2 linked regions of the Macaca mulatta genome follow. Each later gene encodes a partner of the first gene's protein in a complex. Links are inferred from orthologs where the notes say so. Each region holds a gene or a part of one and is shown in the gene's direction. Other genes may lie near its edges. The genes, in order: CACNA2D1 and CACNA1E.

Evidence for each region.
Region 2: the proteins of CACNA2D1 (region 1) and CACNA1E are in contact, whole or in part, in a cryo-EM structure (PDB 8EPM), measured with the Homo sapiens proteins. The link is inferred for Macaca mulatta from reciprocal best matches to the Homo sapiens genes CACNA2D1 and CACNA1E. Residues at the interface, in NP_001353796.1 of Homo sapiens: Thr170, Asp171, Tyr173, Ile233, Leu235, Ser261, Gly262, Ser263, Ser265, Gly266, Leu267, Lys270, Ala327, Lys328, Gly329, Ile330, Thr331, Glu366, Gln391, Asn393, Tyr394, Ile416, Gly417; in NP_001192222.1 of Homo sapiens: Gln110, Leu112, Pro113, Glu114, Asp115, Asp116, Lys117, Pro119, Arg122, Asn630, Phe631, Asn632, Asp633, Gly634, Ile1330, Gly1331, Asn1332, Val1334, His1336, Met1341, Val1343, Arg1346, Arg1393, Ser1394.

The regions. Positions count from the first base shown.
Region 1 is NC_133408.1:137,476,146-137,488,920, forward strand, and holds part of CACNA2D1 (voltage-dependent calcium channel subunit alpha-2/delta-1), read left to right. Parts: intron 1-322; coding exon 323-361; intron 362-1,925; coding exon 1,926-1,997; intron 1,998-3,243; coding exon 3,244-3,396; intron 3,397-3,498; coding exon 3,499-3,551; intron 3,552-5,119; coding exon 5,120-5,175; intron 5,176-5,592; coding exon 5,593-5,722; intron 5,723-7,764; coding exon 7,765-7,874; intron 7,875-8,241; coding exon 8,242-8,324; intron 8,325-12,775. UniProt on the Homo sapiens protein: The alpha-2/delta subunit of voltage-dependent calcium channels regulates calcium current density and activation/inactivation kinetics of the calcium channel. Plays an important role in excitation-contraction coupling.
Region 2 is NC_133406.1:39,172,376-39,185,150, forward strand, and holds part of CACNA1E (voltage-dependent R-type calcium channel subunit alpha-1E), read left to right. Parts: intron 1-1,394; coding exon 1,395-1,406; intron 1,407-3,001; coding exon 3,002-3,098; intron 3,099-6,105; coding exon 6,106-6,266; intron 6,267-6,825; coding exon 6,826-6,963; intron 6,964-7,792; coding exon 7,793-7,994; intron 7,995-8,816; coding exon 8,817-8,981; intron 8,982-9,628; coding exon 9,629-9,739; intron 9,740-12,775. UniProt on the Homo sapiens protein: Voltage-sensitive calcium channels (VSCC) mediate the entry of calcium ions into excitable cells.

The DNA.
Region 1 (12,775 bases):
TACAAATAAACATAAGGCAAATACGTTCTCAGTACCACTACACTGAAGCAGAATTCTGAATTCCTATTTTTTCAAAGCTTTTTGTTTAAATTAGTCAATATGTAATAAAAGTATTTCAAGGTTACAACATGCAATGCTAGTTTATATATTGATTGACATTTTCTAATTTTAAAGATAAAACTTCTGTTTCTTATGGACTAGACTGTTTAATCTCATTTTTCTCCTGGATAAATTATTCTAGAATTTCTAATTATAACATAGTAATAATGTAATTAAAATACAACTGCTAAAAAAATGTAATAATCGGTTTTTTGTCTTTCAGTGTGCTGGTCCAGTTTGTGACTGCAAAAGAAACAGTGATGTAAGAAAACTGTTTAAAATCACTTTTGAGTACAATATTTCCCTGTGTTACTCTTGCTAAGACTAGAATGATGACAAAAAATATGCAGGAATTTTTAATCAAAGGCTAAAAAATTCTACGGAAATGTGAAATAATATATTCATTTGAATTTTTTTTTTTTTTTTTTTTTTTTTTTTTTTGAGACGGAGTCTCGCTCTGTCGCCCGGGCTGGAGTGCAGTGGCTTCATTTGAATTTATATGCTTTTGATTTTGAACGTGAAATGCTTGAATTTTTAAAAATATGTATATGTCCTTGGAAGGTTAAAAAAGTAGTCATGTCAATGTGATGGTTCTCTTCGGTCTCAACGGTGTTACATTCTTTTGCACATATTTATGTTTAGCTCTATTTCTGGATAGGAAGTTTCTAACCAAAGCATCTCTATTCGTTATCAATGCAGTTTTCTCTCACCTATCACACTTTCTCTAAATTTGTTCACAGTGTATTATATAGTTATAGGAAAATTTTTTTTAACTAAACCCAGAAGTATTTCAGTTTATTATAAAGTTCTAGTTACATGGATTGAGTTTTAAGTTGTCTTGTATTACTTTCACATCTGTTTGAGAAATTGGAAAAGGAAATGTGAACTTTCTTCAAAAGTTGAAGATGCTCTAATTCTAAAAATTGAGTAACAATGATGAAACGATATTTTCTTCCAGTCCTCTTATGTGTGTCTGCATATCTCCAAGGGAAACAGGCGGTTTATATCATCTTTATCACTCCCACTCGTGTGGAATTATGAGCAAATAATTTCAATGATTTTTGTAACTTATCTATTTGACATAGACTATGCAGTAGCTGTTTTAAGAGCAAAAAATTTAGTAATAAGCTGCTTCAACATTAGGAAAATGCAATGCATTACATCCTCAACTTTGAAAACAATGTTTTTATTTGTGATTTTATTAAATACAAATTATATTGATTTTCATACATTAAAACATGTTTTAAACTAGGTAGGAATTTATCCTATGTTTCAGGGTGAATTAAGTATTTTCTTAACCATGGACATTTTTTGTTTTGCATTTTGCTTTTAAATCTCCAATTATCCAACTACATATTTTCAATCTGAAAATATGAAATAATTATAGTCTTACAGTACTGACGTGTTTTAAGTCTGTGAAACAGGATAACTAAAATGATATTTTTTAAAATATCTTTTTGTTGAAATCCTAAGTATGTGTTTAAATCAGTTATTCATTATTAAATAATTATCCACTTTTCTGGATCATTTAGATGACACGAAAGTGGTAAAAAGATTATTTCGGATTTGCTTTTATGATTTGTTCAGACTGAATTGACAGTCTCAAATGGATGGTTGGTGTTGGATTATCAAGCGTGATGGTTTGATATAAATCAATGCAGGCCTTTATTTCACCAGAATTTCATGAACATATACGTTCAAGAGAAGATAGTCATTTAAAATTTTCTATTTTTTATTGCTCTAATCATGTACGTATAATGGGGTAAAGACAATACAACCTCCAAACCTTTCTAAAAATGTGTTAACTGTTCATTTTATTTTGGTAGGTAATGGATTGTGTAATTCTGGATGACGGTGGGTTTCTTTTGATGGCAAATCATGATGATTATACTAATCAGGTATGTGCCTGAAATAAGAGAGAATTAGGCTTTCCAAAGTGTGTTTCCCTGATCAACATTACAAAACCTCTTTCAGTGTTTTAGAAATTGATGAGATGTTTTGTTTCTATCATAAAATAATTTGTAAAATGCTTAATATTATGTAAACCATTAAGAAAGGCGTGCTAAGTCTAGCTTTTATGTTATTTGATTTTACATTTTAGTACTGGTATCATTAAAACATACAGTTCAGAATTTTAGCATGATATGACCTTTTTAATCTTTCAGATATTTAGAAAATTTTCACTTCAAAATTTGTCAGTTGATGATATCTAATTTAATATATAGCTGGTTAAAACTGATGTGATTTCTAGTCTCAAATCTGCAAATTAGCAGCACATAGGCTATTTACCTCATACAAGATTTTTAACAAATTTGAATTCGATGCCAACTAATTTCGCTTCTGAATCTATATTCCTGGCTTCTCTTTTTTGGAAAAAGCAAAAGAGATCTCAACACTGGGCTTTTTTTGTTTTCTGGATGACAGTGTTTATGGGCTGAAGCTGATTAACTCGTGATTGCCCCTTTAGATGGGACTTGTTCCAGTTCATCACAGTCCCTACAAGTTCTTTTTCTTGGCCAGCCTGCTCTCTCATTTATGCTACTTTTCCATTCCCCAGGGGGGCATTTGATCTTTTTTTTTTATTGTATATGTTTAAGATGTACAACAAAATGTTTCGATTTGCATAGTTAAGTGATTACTGAAGTCAAGCCAATTAACATATCCATCATCTCAGGTTGTTAACCTTTTTTGCAGTATGGTAAGAAGACTTAAAATCTACTCTCATCAAATTTCTGGTAGACAAAACAGTATTATTAACTACAGTCCTCTGTTGTATATTGAATCTCTAGGCTGATGCATTCTACATAACTGCTTCTTTGTACCCTTTGACTTACACCTCTTCATTCCCCACCCCTGTTTTATTCATCTGGGAGACATTTGATTGTGATTTAGTGCTTAGTAATGTGTGTCCATTCCTTCCACAAATAAAACATCACACAGCCCCACTGAGTAATGAGAACACTTACTCTCATTTTAATTTGTTCACAGTGTCATATACAGTTTCTCATTTGCTTTTGTTTTTAAGCTCCTCAGTTGTAGTTCAGTTTCTCTGTATTATTTCTTTTCACTGTAGTGGTGATTCCAATGTTCATTTTTGACTTACATTTTAAGTACACATTGCTTTATGATTTTTTTCTTCACCAGATTGGAAGATTTTTTGGAGAGATTGATCCCAGCTTGATGAGACACCTGGTTAATATATCAGTTTATGCTTTTAACAAATCTTATGATTATCAGTCAGTATGCGAGCCTGGTGCTGCACCAAAACAAGGAGCAGGACATCGCTCAGCATATGTGGTCAGTAATATCCACAGTCTAATCAATTCTTCTCAAGAGGATACTCAAGTGTCCTCAGTATCAAGTAGACTACTGAAATGACTTTATTATTTTATTTTATAGCCATCAATAGCAGACATATTACAAATTGGCTGGTGGGCCACTGCTGCTGCCTGGTAGGTCAAAATTTTAGTTTTATTGGTAATGAAAGAAGTCGTAAAATAGAAAAGCATCTGATGAAAATATGGATTTAGGGGACACTCAAATTTTTTATTAAGGGAGTTAAGGTTTTTTCATTCTCTGCATCACTTATTGGTAATAGTGATATTTTTTCCTAAGTGAGCACTATAAAATTACCATTATTCAGTTTCTCATATGAAAACAATGTTATGTGGATGTAAACTTCAACCTCTTTAGAGTCTTCTTTCCTCTACACATCTATTGAAATTCTTTTCATTTGTATTAAGTATTTTTAAAGTATTACACCAATTTTAGGTGTATTGATCTGTAAGAAGTTACAATTTAATTGTCTTTAGTATCCAAGTTGGATGTCTGCATGCATCAAATTCATGGCATGATGGCAACCTTCTACCTCTTTACTATTGATACAAGTACTGGTATCGTTTTAGGGGCATCATGTTGCTGAAATGGATCTAATTGTTTCTTTTCACCGATTCTACCTTCCAAACCTCCCCCATCCCTCACCTGTAGACCATACAACCTATGAAAATAAGACATTCAAATGGTCAATTGTGGCACTGTGGAAAGTCTGGAAGATCACATTTCTTATTGTTTAGTTGTAACTAAGCCTGTTACGTCTGGGATCCATGATCTCCCTCTTCCTTCTCTCCCCTCTAATTTTTATTTATTTATTTTTTTTTGGTATCATCACACTGTATTGTTAGCCCTATTCCACATAGATTAATGTACAATATTCATTTGATGTTGAGGTTTGCCAGCTAAAATTAAGTGATGATATCATTAAAGCAGCAAAGAAGATTTTACGATTTTAAAATTTTGAGATAATTTGAAAGATTTAGAAAATTCTGTTTTATTCTGAAAAAATGGTATTTTCTGATGTGATTTTATATATTAATTTCAGTAGGCTTTTAAAATTTCATCATGACCCTGAAATACTTTCTTTATCCTATATCCCCTCCCACCCCCACTTGTTTTAAACTAAATTCAGTTCTAGAAATTTGGCTCAGTTGTCAGTTACTATAAAACTGAAATGTGCCATATCTCTCTATATAATATGTATATTTTGTTTCATGAAAGTTACATTACATATTTACAAATATTTTCTGTATTACAAAGTAAATAGTTAACAAATTCAAACCCATGGTATAAACAGTGTTGTTTCTTTGTTGGGGGCGGGGGGAATTCAAAAAACAAATGGTTTTAAAAGCTAAAATAAGGAGATGTAATGAATGTAAAAACCTATGCGCTGAAACACTGACATTCTCCTTAGAGTGAACACTTCTGCTTGATAACATTGCCTATTAGGCTTCTTAACACACTGTGTCTCACTTGGTCCAGAACAAGATCTGAATACTTCTGATTTCATGACTTGACACATTCAAGAAAGGTTACAATGTGTTATATAATTTTAAAAATACTTAAATAAAAACACTCCTAGACTTTCCTTCCCAAAAAGATAAAGGGAAACGGTATGTGTATGTGTGCATGTAAAAACACATTTTTCCCTAGATTTTTATTATTATTTTTTTTTTGAAAAACTCAGGTCTATTCTACAGCAGTTTCTCTTGAGTTTGACCTTTCCACGACTCCTTGAGGCAGGTATGTAAATGCTCAGACCTTGTCACTGTCATAACGATAAAAATTATTTGGGGGGATATGCTTGAGTTCAGCAAATTCAGAGAATATTTGTGTGAGAAAGAGAAAACAGATCACCCATCTCATAATTTTAGATCTAGAAACTTTTTGTCCAACCTTTCCTAATGTCTTAGAAATTACTTAGGTCACATTGGCCTTGATCTCATAGCCATCATGTATTTAAATTAATTTATTCTATTGATATTTATCAGGCATCTATTACGGGCTGCCACGATATTACACAGCAGTAAACAAGCCAGTCCAGGCCTCCTGGTCTTAGACATTTATTTTGCTCTGTGAGAAGTGAAGACTCCAGGGGACTGACTACAGTGGCCCCTTCTAATGGTGTTCTTTGTTTTTACCCCCCTCTCCCCACCCAAGTTGAGATGGAGGATGATGACTTTACAGCCTCCCTGTCAAAGCAGAGCTGCATTACTGAACAAACCCAGTATTTCTTCGATAACGATAGTAAATCATTCAGTGGTGTATTAGACTGTGGAAACTGTTCCAGGTAATTTCTTTCTTTATTTCTGGAGTCGTCCTATTTCATTAAGAAATTGTATATACTGTTATAATCATTACAGAAAAAACTGAAAATTGTGTTGGAGCCAGAGATGTGAGTAATTGTTTTAAGTTGAAAATGTCAGAGATCTTTAGTTTCTCTGTAGGCTTTTAAAATTTATAATTTTTAAAATTCTAACATTGATAAGCTGTTATTTCTTCAACTATAATAATAATTACATGATCAAGATAATTACTTTCTCTTTAGGCAGAACACAAAGAAATTTGATATTTTTTAACTTTTTTCCTAAAATAACCCATATTAAAAATTTCTAATATAAAGTTATAAAATTAAATATATTAGTAATTCTAAATAATTCTAAGCCAAATATGAATTATTTTTCTATATGGTAACTAAACAGATTTACAAAAAAAAGTCTTGTTTTGTTTTGTTTTTACTTCTAGTCTTCTCTGACTTGAAGAACTGAATGTTATCTTTATTTGAATTTGAAGGAACTGGGAAAAAATGCAATTTTCTTAGGTCATGGTTAATGTTTAGTCAGTATCCATAAAATATCTTTTAAAATGTTGGGAAGAGATGGAGAATTTAATTTTATTGTAATGAGGATAGAGGAGAAAGGCAAGATGGGGATTTTGAGGGGAAAGTAATAATTAATGCCACAAGATTCCTGAGAAGAGAGCAGCAAGTCACAGCTTACAAAGCACAGAGTAGAGACACTTTGTTTTTAGAGGTGGAGGGCAGGTTATTTTAGAAGAAATGTTACCATAGCAGAAGAAGAAATAGGAGGAGGTGAGGTAATCTGAGATTATGAAAGTGCCAGAATAGTTTAAAAAATTTTTTGCAAGAGGGGCTAAGCAACCTCTCATGAATTTTTAGTAGACGTGGTATGTTTTATGACTTTCTCTAGCATACCTCTATGTCCAAGGAGGAGGTAGAATATATGAAGAGGAGAAGAAAGGGGAGGAGGAGTCAAGCATGAACTCACAAAAAAGCAGACTATCTTGTTTAGAGGAGATTAGCGTATCAGGCTATGGACCTCAGGAAATGGAATTGTGGCATGTTTATTGGATACATCAGAGTTTCACAGTCATTGGCCTTTTATTAATTGACATCCAGCAAGAGCAACGTGTGCTTAAAGAAGTAAGTTAAATTGTAAAGTGAAGGTCAATATAACCAAGACATTAAATTGAATCATACTTTCCTTTTGATTTGTTTTATGGAAATCAAAGCTTAACAGAGCAAAAAGAAAATCCCACTTTTCTGCAAAATGTATAATGATGAAGAAATTACTTTTTTAGTGATATATATTTACATTTTCTGTGTTGGTTACTAAAGTAAGAGCAGCTTAAGGTGTGGACAAAACAGGGGATAGAATTCAAAACCTTTGATTCTGTCCATGTCTGTGTTGTCCAATGCAGTAGTTACCACCCATAGGTGGCCATCGAAATTTCAATTACAGTTATTAAAATTAAATTTTTGTGCCTCAGTCACACTTGTCACATTTTAAGTGCCCAATACCCCTTGAGTGGTTAGTATTTACCATACTGGACAGTGCAAAAAACTTTTCCATCTTCACAGAAACTTTGCTTAATAGCACTGTTCCAGACTTTTCTCTGCCCTTAGTTTGGGCAAGATGCCTAGACATTTTTGTATTCCCTGTTGTGTTATCTGTAAAATAAGGCAACTTTGGCATATTTTCAGTGATAAGTATCACAATTATTTGTAAGTGTAAAGAAATTTTTCTATGTGCATCAACAACTAAAAAGTGCTTATTTTGCAATGAGAACTAATACTTAAAATGGTCACACATAAAACATCTATTGCAATTTTTTATTCATTTGACATAGGTAATATTTTCACACTAATAAATGAAACTTTTTTTCCTTCTAAAATCATACTCCTGTTGTGCTTGGAATGGTTTATGTTTCAAATGTCGTATTTTGTCTTTCATTTTAATATGTAAGAATCTTTGAAATATTTCCATTTATTTTGACAAAGATACTCATTTTCTGTGATATCATATTTTGCAGAATCTTTCATGGCGAAAAGCTTATGAACACCAACTTAATATTCATAATGGTTGAGAGCAAAGGGACATGTCCCTGTGACACACGACTGCTCATACAAGCAGAACAGACTTGTATCCTTTGACATCAGAGCTATCTGGAAAGGAAAACCATCTTAAAATAATGCATTTTGAATCTTGTCACATTGTTTATGCTCATAAAGAGGAAAAATATTAGACTGCTCTGATCACCTCGCAAAGGCAGAATGGATTCCTCACTCAAAATTTGGTTGGAATGTCAAGAATAATTATGCTACACATGCCCCAGAAAAGGATAATTCACAATTTAGTTCTTTAAATCCCAATGTACTTGAATTGTGTTGGATGAGAGTAATGATGTATAAGTTATCTCTTACATGTTTTGGGAAATACATTGCATTGTATTTATTTTTAGTCATGTGGAAAAAAAACTAACAAGAGATTCCTTAACAAGCCTCTTTAGCTGATGGTCCAAATCCTTGTGACATGGTTAAGCAACCCAGATACCGAAAAGGGCCTGATGTCTGCTTTGATAACAATGTCTTGGTAAGATCACGCTTCTACTGGATTGAAATACTATAAATTAATGCTCACTGGCCACAAGAATTCAAGGAGACAATTTAACTCAAACATAATGTCTTAACCATAGTTTTTCTCATTAACATGACATACTTGCTGGTAGATTTTTTTCATTTCAGTAGTTTTCATGGTTAGCATAAACTTAACAGTTGCTTCTTTTGTATGTCCTTCCCACAGAAATTGTGCTTTCAAACACAATTCCAATCAATTGACTAATAATCCAAGGTCATAAATCTGATTTTCAAGATTAATAAATAATTAACTCATAGTAAATGTTAATTATGATATATTTGTTGCCTCTATTTATATTCCAATCCTGAAGATATAAAAATTAAGTTTATTACATTTTTATTAGTTATATTCGTCTTCAGTGAATTGAAAAACCTGTTATACAGCCATTGTCTTATTATTATGGAGTTCTGGTTTCTTTTGGATGGTTTCTGATTCTATCACATATTAGACTTGTATTATTTAATTTCTTTTTCTGGTGTTTGAAATTAGACCAGGTCAATTACACAGGGTTAGTTTGATAAAATATTACAAATCATATTAAATATATGTCACTTAAAGATGGCTTACTACGTTTCCTATAGTTCATCTATCTTTCCCTAATAAATACTATTCTGACTTATTGTGTATTGATTATGTACAAGGTAGGTAATACATCATCAGTATGTAATACATTAGCTTTATGCTTTAGAAATACTAATCTATTCTCAAAGATGAAGTCCACATAAAAATCTCTGTCCACCTCTTTTTAACTAATTTTAAATACGATACTTCCCAATTCTGATTCTTCCAGGTGTGCCACTGCATGAAGTGGCTTGCACACACCAATGAGCATCCAAACGTGTAATGCATTATCTCATAAATTGTTTATTCTAAAAATAGGTCAGAACATCTATTGATTAATGTGCATTTTTAAGAGTTATTTAGAAGAGGTTTACCTACTCAAATACATAGCTGCATTTGTCCCAGAAAGGATAAAACATTTCACAGATAATATAAATTAAAAATGGAGCAAAGAAAGAAATAAAATCAGTGATAAATTCAAGATGTATTAGCCAGTCAATCCCAGTTATCTCTGTGAGGGATTATTGATCCTTGCTAGGGAAAGTATTTCAACATTGCCACTAAGGGTTTTTTTTTTTTTTTTTTTTCCTTAAGACATTTAAAGTCCAGATAGGAGGACTCATGTTATTCTGCCTACTACACCTTCAGCAAGTTGCCCATGTAAAATTATTTCCCAAAGAATATTTTATGAAGCGCCAAGGGTCATGTCACTCGTTAGAGAAGCTTCACTCATCAACTATTTGCCACCAGTTTTTTGACAGTAGGAATATTCAGATGAACTTGAAAAAATGACATAAAAACCCTCTTGCCCAAAATATTATTCTAGGAGGCTCTATCTTATGATCAAGGCATTAAAAAGATTTGACCAAGACAAAAATGTTCAGCAATTGAAGCTCCTATAAACGGGTTGTGTGTGAAAGTACAACTGTTGCTCAGTAGCTTGGTATGCTAATAATATCTTGTGTTTCTTTAGCAGTGGAGTATTTTGGTAATGCTTATTTGCAATGGTCACTGTGAATCTGCTCTGGATGGAGACTCACGTTAACTGCCAGCAAATTGCATGAAATCTCATCTTGTATGTCTTCTTTTCTGTGTTTTCTTTCCTTTTCCTGTACTTGCTACTTTGCCCGTTATTAATAGGATCAACTTAAATGCACAACGAGTGGTGCCTGTACCATGATGTCAGCTCCTATCTTCATTTTACTGCAAGTTTTCATGTGGTGTGGATGGTCAGTCACTTTCCCTAATTTTTCTTTTTGTTTTTGGCTTGAAATTTTAGAAAGTCACCCATATCCCTAAATCCATGATATTAATGTTCCTGAAACTAGGTTATTAAAATCTCAGGACCAATGTTGTTTTGGAAATAGCTGATTTCAAATGGCATGTAAATTTCTAATCCTAAATGAAACATATTAGTTTTCAATATTTATGTAAAAATGATTTTTTTCATAAAGTTTTTGTATAAAAATTGTCATTGCAGAGACAAATATACATGCTTCATGATATGAGAACTATCTAATGACAATTTTTAGAGGTGGTTATCTCAGTTTATTTACAAAAGATGCTAACGCAAATTTAATTCCTTTCAGATTTTTCTACTTAAATAAATCTGACTTAAATAACTTTTTAGATTTTTACCCTCAAAATATTGAAATATTTTAGAATAAGTGCTTCCAGTTTCTAAGTTCATTTTATTTAATATTACATTATCTAGCCCAAAATTATTAACCTTTGAAGAAATTTCTGAGTTCTGTATTCAGTACTACTAACGGGAGGTTTCGGCGCTTGCATTTGCGTTTAGTTCTTCATTTACTGTTTTGCAATTTATTTTCTAATGCTCTGGAATCATCATGATTGTGTTACTAGAGCACACACGTTTGTTGTGTTTGTCATCGGTTTCCAGGTAGTCATTGATTAGGAAGCCACTAGATGGAGATGTGGCCATTACTATGAATGGAGTGAATTCACAGGCAGGGGTGGTAGAGGGTGGGGAGTAGAATAGCAGAGGGAGTCTCAGAAAATAACCACTTGTCTTCTGGGATAATAAAAGAATGGTTTTCATGGCAAAAGACTCCAAGCAAAGGAAACATTACTGTAATAATTAAAATACTAAAATTAAATATCTTCATATAAACATTTTAAAAATTGATATGTATGCAACTATTTGAAATATTATTGATTCCTTAAAGAAGTTCATAGGTAGTCAACGATTACACAAGAAAAGTGTTACCAAATATGTTTCCATAATTGTCCTTATTTTCCCTTCATTCAAAAGCTTACTTCTCTCAATCATAGAATTTTTAGGTAAGATTTATAGGTTATCAATTACACTAAAAAATATATAAGTATTGGTCTTGAGTAGGCCAGCTCTCTTTTTACCTTTCTCTTAAAAACCTATAGCAATGGCTGGTCGCAGTGGTTCACGCCTGTAATCCCATCACTTTGGGAGGCCGAGGTGGACCTGAGGTCAGCAGTTGAGACCAGCCTGGGCAACCTGGTGAAACCCCATCTCTGCTAAAATTCAAACAGTAGCTGGGCCTGGTGGCACGCACCTGTAGTCCCAGCTACTCTGGAGGCTGAGGCAGGAAAATTGCTTGAGCCTGAGAGGTGGAAGTTGCAGTGAGCCGAGATTGTGCCACTGCAGTCCAGCCTGGATCACAGAGCTAGACTCCGTCTCCAAAAAAAAAAAAAAAAAAAAAAAAAAAATCCTATAGCAACAGTGAATGTAAATTTTTTTTAACCTAAGAACCCCCCCCCACACACACAAAATAACATTTTCCTATTATGATACATTATAAATCTATCATGGAAATAATTATGTATCACCATGGACTCAACTAGATATTTGTGTACCGGATAATATGCTTTATAAATTGGGTTTACATAAAATAAATTTCTCAATGGACAATTATTGACTTGCTTTACTTCTTTGATTAATAAATGTTAGCTTTTTCATTTGCTTATCTTTTTTGCTTGTGTGTGACTTAAGTCTTCATAAAGCTTGTATCAAAAACTCTCGAACACTTGAGTTTTGATGAAGTCCTCATGGTATGGAACTTCATAATTGTAGATGTTGTATAATCTATATCCTGATCTCTAAAAAGAACACATTTGAGATTCCTTTATATTATTATATCACAGGAATACATAATATAGATGGTGTATATTTTACATTAACAAGATGTGGTTTCAGTATTTAAAAACACAGTTATCAGTATAGAACAGTGAATCCCCTTAGTGCTATTTGAATGTTGATATGATGATATCAGAGGAAGTATTATTTTCTCTGAAACAATTAAGTTGAAAAAAAATCATTACAAAAAGTACTGAAAGGTTAGTTGGCAGTTATTTCCCACATTAAGGACCAATAAAGGTCATGGTCTATGCTCCAATATAGTCTGGCTAAAACTAGCAATTTCTGTTGGATTAGGTTCTGCTCACAAGCAAGGTAGAATGGTAGTGTAATCTCCAAAGCCTACCAAAGGGCCATTAATCCTGTAGATTCCAGAAGGATAAAGATTATACATAAACAATTATGAAGCTCCATACCATGATGACTTCATCAGAACGCAAGTGTTCAAACAAGACTTTTTGATAACAAGCTTTGTGAAGATTCAAGTCACACACAAGTACAAAAGCAAATGAAAAAGCTAACGTTTATTAATCAAAGAAGTAAGGCAAGCCAATTCTGTCCATTGAGAAATTATTTTATGCAAACCCAATTTATAAAGCATAGTATTGGGTACATAATCTGTCTACATTTAAAGAGTTGAATAAATATACTGCCTATCTCTCGAGTAAATGTGTAAGAGTGTTAAGGTGCCATGTAGGAGAACAAATTATTT
Region 2 (12,775 bases), on another chromosome or scaffold:
TGGCATTTATAATGAAAATTAATTTAATTTTGAATATGGGATCATTTGTTGAGTAAAATGACCATTAGAAGTCTTTCCTTGTGACATACAGTAGTGGAACATAGGTTTGCCATACATTGGCAAAAAATAGGAAAGAAAAAAAGTAACCTTTATCAAAATCTGCAACTAAGAACCAAAACCTGAATTATGAACACTTCTTCTTAGCAGTAGGCCAGGACAGGGAATCATGAGATGCAGGTTCACCTATGGTGAACTCACTCAGTGAATGATCTTAGGCAAGGCACTTCCTCCTGGGGCCTCAGTTTCCTTTGCAGTTGGGTAGATTTCAGGGATCTCTTCCAGTTCAGAAATACACTGTGCTGTTTGACAGAACTTTGAACTAAAACCTGCTGGTGCAGAGCCTTAGTGGTTAGGAGCAAGAGCTTTGATCATCATACGTGCTTGGGTTCATGTCCCAGCTCTGCCAACTGATGCCGGGCACTCTACCTCTCTGAATCTCTTCTGTGAAATGGGGATAGTGATTCCTATGTGCTAAAGTTAGGAGGTTTAAATAAAGATTTGCACTAAAATTGCTTAGCACAGAGTCTGGCCCAGAATCAATAAAATATTCAAAAAATTTAGAAGTTGTCATTACTTCTATCTTGAAGATATTTATGCCCTTACTTATTTTAAATGCCTCACCAATAGAACTGGGATGATTTTTCATCTTCAAACTGCATAGTATGCTCACAATGGACAGGTGGTCATTTAATTTATCAAAAGGCAAACTTTGGTGTGACATCATGATCTTGACAGACAAATGCCTCCCTCCCTTATTTCAGGTTAGTTTAACAGTGATGCTCCTCTGAGCTTCTAAGAGACATCAGTGTGTCTCTCTCTGAGTGGTTGCGTGTCCCTCTTTAGATGAAACCCTTTATAAGCATAACCATGCCAGTGTGTGAGAGAATTTCTGGCCCGGAGTGGGCATAGTTCCTCCAGCCTGGTTTCTTATAAATTCACTGGAAACAGAGTTTGTCTGAAGACTACACAAGAAATGAAAGTAAACGCCTGCACTTAGAAAACTGCAGTTAAACCAGACTCCATGGAAATAATGCACAATACCCAGAAGCCTATGTAGAATTGTCACTTGTGCTGGCAGAGGGCCTTCGCCCCTGCAGGCTGGGACAGTGGCCAGGGAGCAAATGGTGTGCTGGCCCTTCCTTTCACAAAGGTGTGGACACTCTAAGTGCCAAGGCTGTGGGTGGGGTCCCTTGGGCCTGTGCTGCTCTGATTCCCTATCGTTGTAAGGTTCTCTTTTCTCCCTGAAGTGTTCTGACTGTCTTTCTTCTCTCTACCCCAACCCCACTTTTGTTTTATTTTGATTTTCTACTGCTCTCTGATTGGATCCTCCATAGGAACGCTTTGGGGTAAATATGTTCAATTATCTTTGAAGTAAAAGATACAAGGAATGAGTTGGAGGAGCAAGAAAGTATGGTTGGGAGGAGAGGGGCTCATGCATTGAGAAAAGAGTGATCAGCTTTTATTTATATCCCAGAGACCAAAATCAGGAGTCACCAAGCCTTCTTGGGAAATGATCATTCTTGTTGGTGTGGATATGTATTAGGCTCATATGTTGCCTCTTTTAGGTATGTAGACAGATGAGCCTAATGCGGTGAAATAGTTTGTAAAATATACCAAAGCCTCTGGATGTTAAAGACCATATGAATGCAATGCTTTTGGATTATTTTTATTCAGATCTAGGACTGAATAAAAGTGACTTGTAGGTCATGGCCTGTAATCATTAAGAGAGTATTAAAATAAACATTCTGGGCAAAGTCAGCATTCCTTGAACTCAATTAAATATCTTTTGGCCTCGCTTCTGTGAAAGAAAGCCCTTGCAGTTCCCATCTGATGTTCTGCACCCCATTTCCTCAGACTGTTGGTGTAAGAGTAATCTGGGTCAACATGAAGAAAGAGACAGAGCCTTACTCCACTATTTGGAGTCTTGTTTTCCACCATTTGTGTGTTTTATAAACGATAATTATTTGAATTCAATGCAAAGGTCTCAGGGGAAGAACAGGGAAGAAAGAGAAATGCAAGTTTATTGTTCATTTTATTCCTAAAAATAAAAAGAGAAACATACTGTCACTATTAGGAGTAAACATTTCCAAGAGGCTGAATAGGGAGGGTCATTAGCTGTAGGGCCAGGATAAAGGTAGGCCGGGCCTGCAGTTTGGGCCTCCCCCAGCCCAGTGACTCTCTGCAGCCTGTGCTAGGTGCACACCGTCTGCAATGGAAGGTACTGCGGGAAAAACCAGCCACACAGAGGTACTGCAGTGTGAGCCAAGGTCCTGGCTAGAAGCCTGCATGACATGCTTTCTCTGGAACACGTGGCCCAGCGAGAGTGTCATGTCTGCCACCACCCTGCCTCACCTTGCTCTCTCCTGCACTAATGAACTGTGCAGTGGTGACAAACCTAGATTAAGTCAAGTGCCCTGATGAGGCTTGCTCTCAACTGTGGGTTCATCAATTCAGCGAATATCATTTGAGAACCTATCATTTAACAAGCACTGGATTTGGCACAGTGGGGATCTGAAGTGGGCTACTGCTCACATTCCCTAGTTGATGTGTCTTCTGTTTTCATTGTGCCAGGGTGGTAATCAGCAGCATTAGACTGGTAGTTAGGGAAGGAAGTGTTTATTAACGTATGTGCATGGATGCTTCTGTGTGCCTATGTGTTCCTCTGTGTGTGTATATATGAGTGTGTATGTGCATGTGTGGGTGTTTATGCATGTGGATGTGTGTTCATGTGTGCACACTGGGAAGTGATTTGAGAATATTCCTGAAGCGTTTTTCGTAGGATGTCCCTGGAGTCAAATCTGACTCAAGTTTCTGGCTTCTTGCCTCCATCTCTCCCATACATCTCTCCCCTTTTAGCCTGTTGTTGCTAATGCCATAGTTTGAATGTCATTTTTATTTCTCCCCCATTCCATATGATTCCCTGGGGGCCTCTCCCCTGCAGAACCAACAAAGGACGGGACATCAAGACCATCAAGTCTCTGCGGGTGCTCCGAGTTCTAAGGCCACTGAAAACCATCAAGCGCTTGCCCAAGCTCAAGGTAGTGTTTACAGAGTTTGTTCCCATCAAATCCCCTTCTCCCGTCTTCTCTCTTTAGCCATGGCTGGCCTGCCTTTGGAGAATTTGTTCTGGGAATATTCCTTTTTCTCACACGGATATTGAAGTTCTTTTCATCTGTCTGAGCTAAAGGTCTTAGTTTCAAAGGAAAATAGCCAACATCCCAAGAAATCTGTAAGAAAGCTTTTCCTTTTAGTTCAGACCCAGGTGGTATCTTCTCTCCAGTGTGATATGTCATCCAAGAGGGAATCCTGTGTGGCTTTGTCCTGGGGCCTCCTATGTCCCCAGTGCAGACCCAGAACACCAGAATGGACGCAACGGGACCCCTCTGTGTGTTGTGGTCTGCGTAGTTTTTAAGGCCGAGTATCCTGGGACATTTTCTTTTTCTTACAGCTCTAGAGGAGAAGAGGCTCTTCTGGCCCCACCCTTTATAATTTTGAGGCACAAATAGGTCAGTAACTTGTCCAAGGACATGCAGTCCATTTTTGGCAGAGGCAGAGAAGAAATGGGGAAGTGAGCTGACATGAATTAAGTTCTTCCTATTGCCAGGATTTTTACTAGGTATCTTACCCAGATTTCTCCTTGTCTAATACTCCACCTGCTCAACTCGCCTGGGGCTCCACTTTCCATGAGCCTTCCTGCCTCTCAGGAAAGCATCATGCGCTCTATTACACAAGTCTGCTAGCCTGTTGAACCCACCTGCCCCACCCCACATACTTTGCTGTTAATAGAAGCTGAGTCTCCATGGGAGGAAAGTTCTTTCTCCCTGAATTCCTATGAATGTCAGCAAGTCACTGCCAGGGAGAGGAACAGAGCTCCTGGTTTCCAGCCCCAAAGTCTTTCTGCTGCTCAGTCCACACAGCCAGCCAAGCCCCATCTTCAGGGGCTACACCAGAATACTTTCCAGCAAGCAGACTCAATTCCCTAACTTCTGCATCGCATGGAATCATGCAGTGCTTCTCAAGGTGTGGGTCATAGGCCACCTGCATCAGGATCACCTGGGTACTCCTTAAAATCCAGATTGCTGGCCACAACACAACAGAGCCAGAATCCCTGTGGGAGGGGCTTAGAGTGCGCCTCTTAAACCGGCTTCCCAGGTGACTCTTAGAATATAGTGTAGTTTGAGAACCCTTGTCAACATTAAAAAGATCCCACGTGAGTGCCAGGCTCAGCTCTAGGACTTAGGAGCTATATGACCTAGGGCAAATTACTTATTCTTTGACTTTCTTTCACATGGGAAATGAGGACACCTTGTAACTCATACATCTGTGGTGTGGAGAAAATGAACTGATGTGAGTGGTCCCTGTTAGAAAACTCAACAGTTCCTCTGGAATGCCTGGGCCTGCTCTCCCAAGCCTGCCACAGGGGACAGAGCTTGGGGAGGGCTCTTGTGCATTTGACTCTCCCTTGCTTCTCAATTCCCACTTCCTACTGGATTCTCATCACCTCTGATACTCTTTGCCCACCCCGACCCCAAACCTCCTTCAGGCCTCATAGCACTGCTTCCCTTTCAGCCATTTGGCTCTGCAGAGAGGTGGCAAAACTAACTAGGTTCATGAAACAGAAGAAAAGTCACTTCTGAGAGGCCCTGATGTGACTGAAACCTGGCTACGTTTCAGAGCCCAGGGGCCCTGGCCCACCGCATGGGTTCCCAGAGAGAGACACCCATGCTCCCAAGGAAGTGGCCTGGCCGACTGCTGTCCTCCCTGGCTACCCCGCTTTGCCCCTGGAGGAGGCACTTGCACAATGTCAGCTGTTTATTACTACCTTCCTGCCCAATAATGGCCCAGTTCAGCACCTGCCCATAAATACTCATTGGGTTGTGCCTCACACCCCACAGTGTGCTGCCTGGGGCCCTGACCCTTATCAGTGTTGTCAGTGATCCTGCAGGGCAGGATTCAGTGGGCCTCAAGGAGAGTGCAGACAAGCTTGATGAGATTAGTTAATAGGCCAGAGAAAGCACCCTGCAACCTTGCTTAATTCTGTTAAATTAGAAAGGGCTAGTTCCTCGCTCTGCAGCTCCATAACCTGAGGGAGACGTAGGTGGCTCTGACGATTCCACAAGGCTGCCTGTCACTCACATTCCCCGCAGTGTTGAACTAATTAAACCAGCAGTGCTTCACCCAGTGCTGCAGAGAAGCAACTGCACAAATGCAGCACCACTGTGGGGCTAGATTATCCTGTGAGCTAAACCTAAAACCTAGAAAATAACCTAAAAATGGCCTGAAATGTGTTGAATTCCCATGTAACTCCTCACAGCTTAGGGCATAGAGTGGAGGTCACTGGAGGTCTGTCGCCTTTTAACTGAAGTGTAAGTCCCTGGTTCTATCTACCCAGTCTCGCCATCTCTAACAGAAGGTGTGTATTGGTCTTTCCCACTTTCCTTCTATTGGTCTTCATCCCCAATGCAGCCACCATAACTAGAGAACATTTACGTGAAATACTGAATATAATCACAAATGTATGAACTTGCTATGAAATATTAGTGAAATGAACAAAGATGATAGTGTATTATTACCTGATCCTTTTAGAAAGGTAAGGAGAAAATAATACATAATCAGTATATAATTCGAATCTAAGAATGTCACCAAATAAAGCACAAGCTATTTAAAGACTAAAATGGGCTAAATGATCTCAAAGATCCCTTCCAGCAATACACTTCTATGCTTCACACTAAGTGGAGTACCCGTACCAGGAACCCACAGAGGACCACATTCCTTGCTTGATAACATCAGATTTCTACTGCATTGGGTCTACATTCGGTTTCAGAACATGTGTTCCCATTTTAGGTGGTAGGTCTTTGCAGTCATAACCAGCTTAGAAGCCAGCCCTTAATCTCATGAGCGACGCCTCACCTCTTAGCAGGAAATTCTATCCTGGGACAACTTCTTAGTGGGGCTTGGTGGTGGTGGTGTGGCCCAGCTCAGCTCTAGGCAAGTGTGCAGACCATCACAGGGTTCACACAGCAGGGCTCTTTGCTCTATCCACAGGCTGTCTTCGACTGCGTGGTGACCTCCTTGAAGAATGTCTTCAACATACTTATTGTCTACAAGCTCTTCATGTTCATCTTTGCTGTCATCGCAGTTCAGCTCTTCAAGGGAAAGTTCTTTTATTGCACGGACAGTTCCAAGGACACAGAGAAGGAGTGCATGTAAGTGCCGCCAGCACATCCCACTTGATTTTGCTGAAGCATGTCCTGATGAGCCCACTCCACCCCCACAGGTCCACCTTCCCTCCTTTCTATCTTACCCATCTCCACGCTTCTTTCAGCAAAAAGACAAAACAGGGAATCAATAAACTTTTTATTGAGTGCCTCTTTTGTGTCAGACATGAAAACTTCAGTGTAAACTGTCTTGTACCATGACATTTTACACTCGAGTTTTCATTTTAAACCCCTATAATGAGCTATTAAAATGAGTTTTATTTGCTTATTATACAAGTGGAAGCTAAAACTCAGAAAGTTAACCTTAAGCAAGTTGCTCAAGGTTACACAGCCACTAGTGAAAGGGTTGGGATTTACTGCCATATCCATTGGGCACCAAATCCCATTTTTGCTCCATGGTAAAAATACGTTCCTTTAATAAAATTCCTTTTCCTTACACATATATGGTGATCATTATTACTCCCAAATTATTGTGGCCTGTAGAATGTGCTGACTCTTCCATGAGCTATAGTGAGGGGTCCCTCTTTCATTTCTGCTCTGGTTTTAGAGGCAACTATGTAGATCATGAGAAAAACAAGATGGAGGTGAAGGGCCGGGAATGGAAGCGCCATGAATTCCACTACGACAACATTATCTGGGCCCTGCTGACCCTCTTCACCGTCTCCACGGGGGAAGGATGGCCTCAGTGAGTGACTGAGTTGGCATGCTTGTATGTGGCTGTGATAGGCCCCCCGGTTGCCTTGAGAAGCTGACTCAAGATGAACAAGGCTCACCCTTTGTTATTGTATCAGGGAAAGTAAGGGGTTTTCAGAAGGTGACACAGGCAGAAAAGAGGAAGAATGAAAATTCTTCAGGCAAAAATGGAGAATCGGGTGAGCAAATCAGGGAAATATTTGAAACTCTTAATGTTTTAGCCAATTATTGAGGAGTTGAGTGGAACCATCTGACTTCTGTGGAACAAATGAGTTTTGAACAGCCCTGTACCCGTAAGGAGAGCTCCTGAGAGCTGTTATAGACAGATTTATCCTCCAGGGGGACCCAGTACCTGAGAGCCTGAGGATTGAGGGTTAAGAATGAGTTGGCAAAACCCAAAGGCACTTCCTGTGATCATGAAGAAGACCACAGAATACAGGTCTTATGCTGCCCATAGCTGAAAGCTAATTTTTCAGAGACTTAGCAATGACTAAGACACCACTTTCTGGTGGCAGCATGTTCTTGTTGGCAGCAAACTGTTAAATGGAAATCTGGGAGTCTCTTTGTATTGAACATGGCAACCTAAACTATGAAATTATGTCCCTCTGTTGCTTAGGAGTCGAGTGCATGATGGAACGGGGGCTAGAAAGAGAAGCGGATTGTTGATAGCAGGATATGACACTTGGGTTTGGACTCAAAAAACTTAATGGAGGATCTACAAAGTCAAAGAAGTCAGATAAAATATTATAATAGGTGGCATATCTCCTAATGAAGCCAAGACTGTCATCCACCATCTGTGCCCTCTCGTTCTGTCCCCACAGAGTTCTGCAGCACTCTGTAGATGTGACAGAGGAAGACCGAGGCCCAAGCCGCAGCAACCGCATGGAGATGTCTATCTTTTATGTGGTCTACTTTGTGGTCTTCCCTTTCTTCTTTGTCAATATCTTTGTGGCTCTCATCATCATCACCTTCCAGGAGCAAGGGGATAAGATGATGGAGGAGTGCAGCCTGGAGAAGAATGAGGTAACAACAATTGGTCTAAAGTGGGAGGCAGCAGGGGCTCCAGAAAGGATTCTTGGGCCAGCAGTGTAAGAAAGGAGGACTGCATTTTCTTAACTTGATTAAGAATTATAGAGAGAAGATGAGAAAAGTAATTATTCAGCCATTAAATAAACATTTTCCAAGCACTGTTTAAGGCCTGTGTATGAGGCACAGAGATCTGGAAGATGTGTAAGATGTTTATGATGCAGTCATTACCTTTGTGTATGCATAGTCTAGAAAACAAAGATGTGTGGCACAATGATAATATCAGATATCTGCTTATCTGGCTGCTGTGACCTTCCATGCCATGTATTTGCTGTAAGGGCAGGGAATGTGTCTTATCACAGCTTTTCCAGCAACAAGCATAGTTCTGGCACATTGTAAGGTTTCAAAAGCTTTTTTTGAAATTTCTTTCCTTTTTTTTTTTTTTTAACAATGGAACTGAACTAGAAACGTTAGGGACTGTAAGAAATGTGACAGAAAGTGCTGTAGAAATACATAGGTAGGTAGATCTTTACTTCTGACTAAGGGCACCAAGGAAGGCTTCCTGCCTAAATAGCTCAGCCACATGCTGTGTAAAGGACTTTTTAAATAATCATGAAGTCTCTACTCCACGTGACAACACCTCCTTCAAGGTGATGCCTTGTCTGTAGTTTTGTCTAGGTGACCCCAGTTGCCATCTTTACTTGCCCAGCCCTGCCCTTTTTCCCATTCACTGCCCTCCTCTTCTGAGCATGGAACAGAGCCTGCCATGCTAGATCTATGGGATCTGAGCTTGTGCGAATAACCATGACTTTCTTGCAGAGGGCGTGCATCGACTTCGCCATCAGCGCCAAACCTCTCACCCGCTACATGCCGCAGAACAGGCACACCTTCCAGTACCGCGTGTGGCACTTTGTGGTGTCTCCGTCCTTCGAATACACCATTATGGCCATGATCGCCTTGAATACCGTTGTGCTGATGATGAAGGTGAGAGGAGAGAGGCACAAGAGCCGGCTGAGCCCCAGCGATGGTTCCCTCCCACGGCAAGTGGGAAGACACCCCAACATCCCAGCCCGTCACTGCTTTACCTACTTTTCCATCATGGAATCCTTTTGTGATCTGTATTTTGTTCAACAACCCAACCTCTGGGGCTTTGGGGGTCCACTGAGCAAAATGCAGTGCAGCCTATAGTAGCCATCCAGGGGCTCCCAAGACCTGAGATGGCAATGGGAAGCAGCTTCAGACAAGGGTGGGAAAATCAGGAGACAGAGATCCATCATCATGGGGTCTGAAGAAGCCTTGGAGTACTCAGACAGGCTCATCCTGTTTAATACTAAATGACTAACTCCAGTAACTAACTCTAGAAAATGTTTCTTCTCTGCCCACCCTCATCTCTAGGAAGACTGGCCATTTTGCTGTTAAGTCTGGTGGAGTGTGGGTCTGTGTTTTCCTTTGTTTTGTTGGGTAGAATATGTGGTTCTCCCCTCCAGCACTCGAAGTCCATCTCTCCTCCTGTACTGCGTACCAGAGTCTCCTACAGGGCAGGAATGAGAGATGGCCAACCTCGGTGACATGTATTCCCCCTCTTACCTTAAGGCTGTGATTCTTTCTCTCTTCTTTTCTCTTCCTGGCAGTATTACTCTGCTCCCTGTACCTATGAGCTGGCCCTGAAGTATCTGAATATCGCCTTCACCATGGTGTTTTCCCTGGAATGCGTCCTGAAGGTCATCGCTTTTGGCTTTTTGGTATGTCGCTGAATCCTTCCCAGCACTGGGCGTGTCTCTTTCTGTTGGGTGCTTTCCCAGCCTTTGTTGAAAGGGAGGTGGTTACTGCTATTTCAGAAATCACCCACCTAGATGTGGGCTCGTTTTGACTGCTCAGTAAACTGCCATAGAGACAAGATGTGTGAGGAAGTTGGGAGAAAGGGCAAAGGAAGCCACATCCCAGGTTCATGCTTATGGGGCTATCAGCCCTGGTCCTGTGAAATTCTGTCAGCAGTCCAGAGGCGGCCATCATTGGGTTTTACTAGAACTACAATTTATGTGTAGATGAAGGAGCAAGCCAAAGATTGGACTAATAAACTTCGAGTGCTTATTTACTGGTAAAAGGTATAAGAGCTTTATAACACAAATGGGAAAATACCTATCGCTGTTAGCCTCAAACATAGCAAATAATAGATTTTACCTATTAGTCCTTCTGCCATTAGTAACATGAAGAATAGTTTCTGCCAAAGAAAATAGGTGTTTATTACTTATGCCTATAAAGGTTAATGGCCTTTAAGAGGTATGTGTGTGTGTGTGTGTGTGTGTGTGTGTGTGTGTAGTGCAACGGGAAGGATTCTGGAATTAAGTCTGAGGAGGTTTGGCGATGATGAATTTTTCTGCTAGGAGCCCTCTTTTTTCTTCTCCTCAACTACTATTAATAATTATAATGTTTGGCAAATTCTTGCATCTGTTCTCAAGAGTGTTAAGAAAACCTAGCCCTTTGCTTCAGTGTCCTATAAACAAGATAATCCCGTTGGCCACCCTCCCCCCACCTTGCTTCAGTGTGTACAGTGAGTTCAGTGGGATGCAAGCCCACGTGACAGCTGTTTCACACTTACTTAGGGTGTGAGCTACCATTTCAAATTACATGGGTATGTGGCTTTCCCTGCAAGAAGGAGAACTTTGCTCATTATCTGAATAAGTGTTTGTCTGGTAGCAGCTTTAACAGAGGCTCTGGGCTGGGTTCAATAATTGTGAGAGTTGATTACGGGGGCTGCTTTTGGTCTCCCAGCGGGTTCTTTGAAAAACCATTAATTTGATCATTTTGGGTGGAGAGTTTAAGGGAACCAATTGCAGTTGGCTGCATTGTGTTTGCCTGGCTCCCTTGTGAGTGTTTTGAGACTTGGGGAAATAAAAAAGTAAAAGAAACTACTACCAACAAAGATGCCTTTATAATACAGTCTAGCCCTGAGCAGGGGGAGTTGACCGAGAGGGAGACACAAGCACCACAACAGGGAAAGTTTTTCTGTGCATATTGATTACTTGTATGTGGTATTGACATTGTCTGTGACTTCAGACCCATTATGTGTCTAATTATGGCGAATGCTGAATATATACTCACAGCCTTAACTAGATTCGGCCCTTGAAGCCTGCATCCTTCCCACCCTACCCCCATGTTTTCGTTCAAGGTCTAGAGGGATTTTCACTCTATAAAAGGTACCACTAATTCTGATAAGTCCTTACATTGTTAAAGCACTCTAAGCCTTCAGAATATCGTAATATATACTATTTCATTAGATCTTCTCAGTGACTCTGAAATAGGCATGGCAGATGTCACTATCATAATTGCCATTATTGTTGTTGTTTTAAATGAGGAAATTGAAGTTCAGAAAAATTGTATAGCTTCCTAAAGATTACATAATGACAGGCAATAGAATTGCAAGGCAAAATGGGAAAAAAAAAAAAGGAAAGGAAAAAGAAAAAGAGGGTAAGATGTAACAAAAATTGTTTGGTTATCAAGTACCAAATGCTTTACATATTGTTTTTCTCTCCATAACAATATATTAGATAAGCATTCTTATTTTTGCCTTTTTATGGATCAGCTGGAGCTCAGAAAGGTTGAATACTTTGGCAAGATTAGTAAGAGGTAGGGCTAGGATTCAGACCCTGTTCTTTCTAACTTCAAAGCTCACAATAATCTACTAGTCTACACTACACTGTACTATTCTATACCATACACCACAGTGTGCTAGTCTATACCACAGCATGCTATTCTGTATTGTAAAGCATTGTTAACTGGAATCCAGAGCTTCTGGTCCTCTGAGACTTAGATCCATGCACCAATATTTAGAAAGAATTAAAACCAAGAATTAGGAAGTTCACCCCAGGTGGGACAATAGGAGAGCCCTGAGAATTGAGGAATTCAGCTACTTAATTTAGCTCCACCACTGATAGACTAAATATTCTAATGGAAAGTGAATTTATGAAACTCTGTGCTTCAGTCTCTCCACATGCCCCATAAGTACACGTGGCTTTGGAATAAGGCCTCTCTCAGCCTCATTTTCTCGTACATAAAATGAGGATAACAGTAGCTACCTTATGGCCTTAGCTACTTTGTTGTATGTATCCAATTAAGTGATATTCATAGCCTTCTGAGTGGATGTTCATTAAATATAACTTCTCTCTCTCTCCACACTCCTTTTCTCTCTTTATTGGGTATTTTTCCCCCCTCTTGCCAACTTTTCCATTCAGGATTCTATGAACATGGGGTATTTGTCACTCCCTGCCTCTAGGATCCATGAGAGGAATAAATGAGTTGAAAGAATGCCAAAGGCCTGGCCTAGTGTCTGGCTCATGTCGTAGGAATTCGATGATGCTAGTTGTGAGGCTGGGATGGAGTATACTTCTGCAGTGCTCTGACAGTCTCTTGTTTTTTATGCCAATGATAGGATAAAATAATCCATTGTCCTGTGATCTTGCTGAGGATATCAATTACAGGTGTTTGAAATTTTCTTCTCCTTGTACTTTCTCTGTCTCCTCTGAATTTCTGCATTCTGTTGATTTTAATCTCTGTTTTCTGTGTTACAGACTGCCCTTATATGTCCCAGGGGCAAGCAAGTGAATTGTTTTTGAGATTCAAGTATCCTTTTTGTTTGTTTGTTTTTAAAGGAACACAGTCTAAGGTCTGTGTTCATCTGAGCCTAGGAGATGGATGCATAGTCCACCCTCTCCTGTTAAATGGAGTGTTATCTGATTGGTGGATTTTCCAGGCCTTTTATATCTCCTTCAGCTCACTCA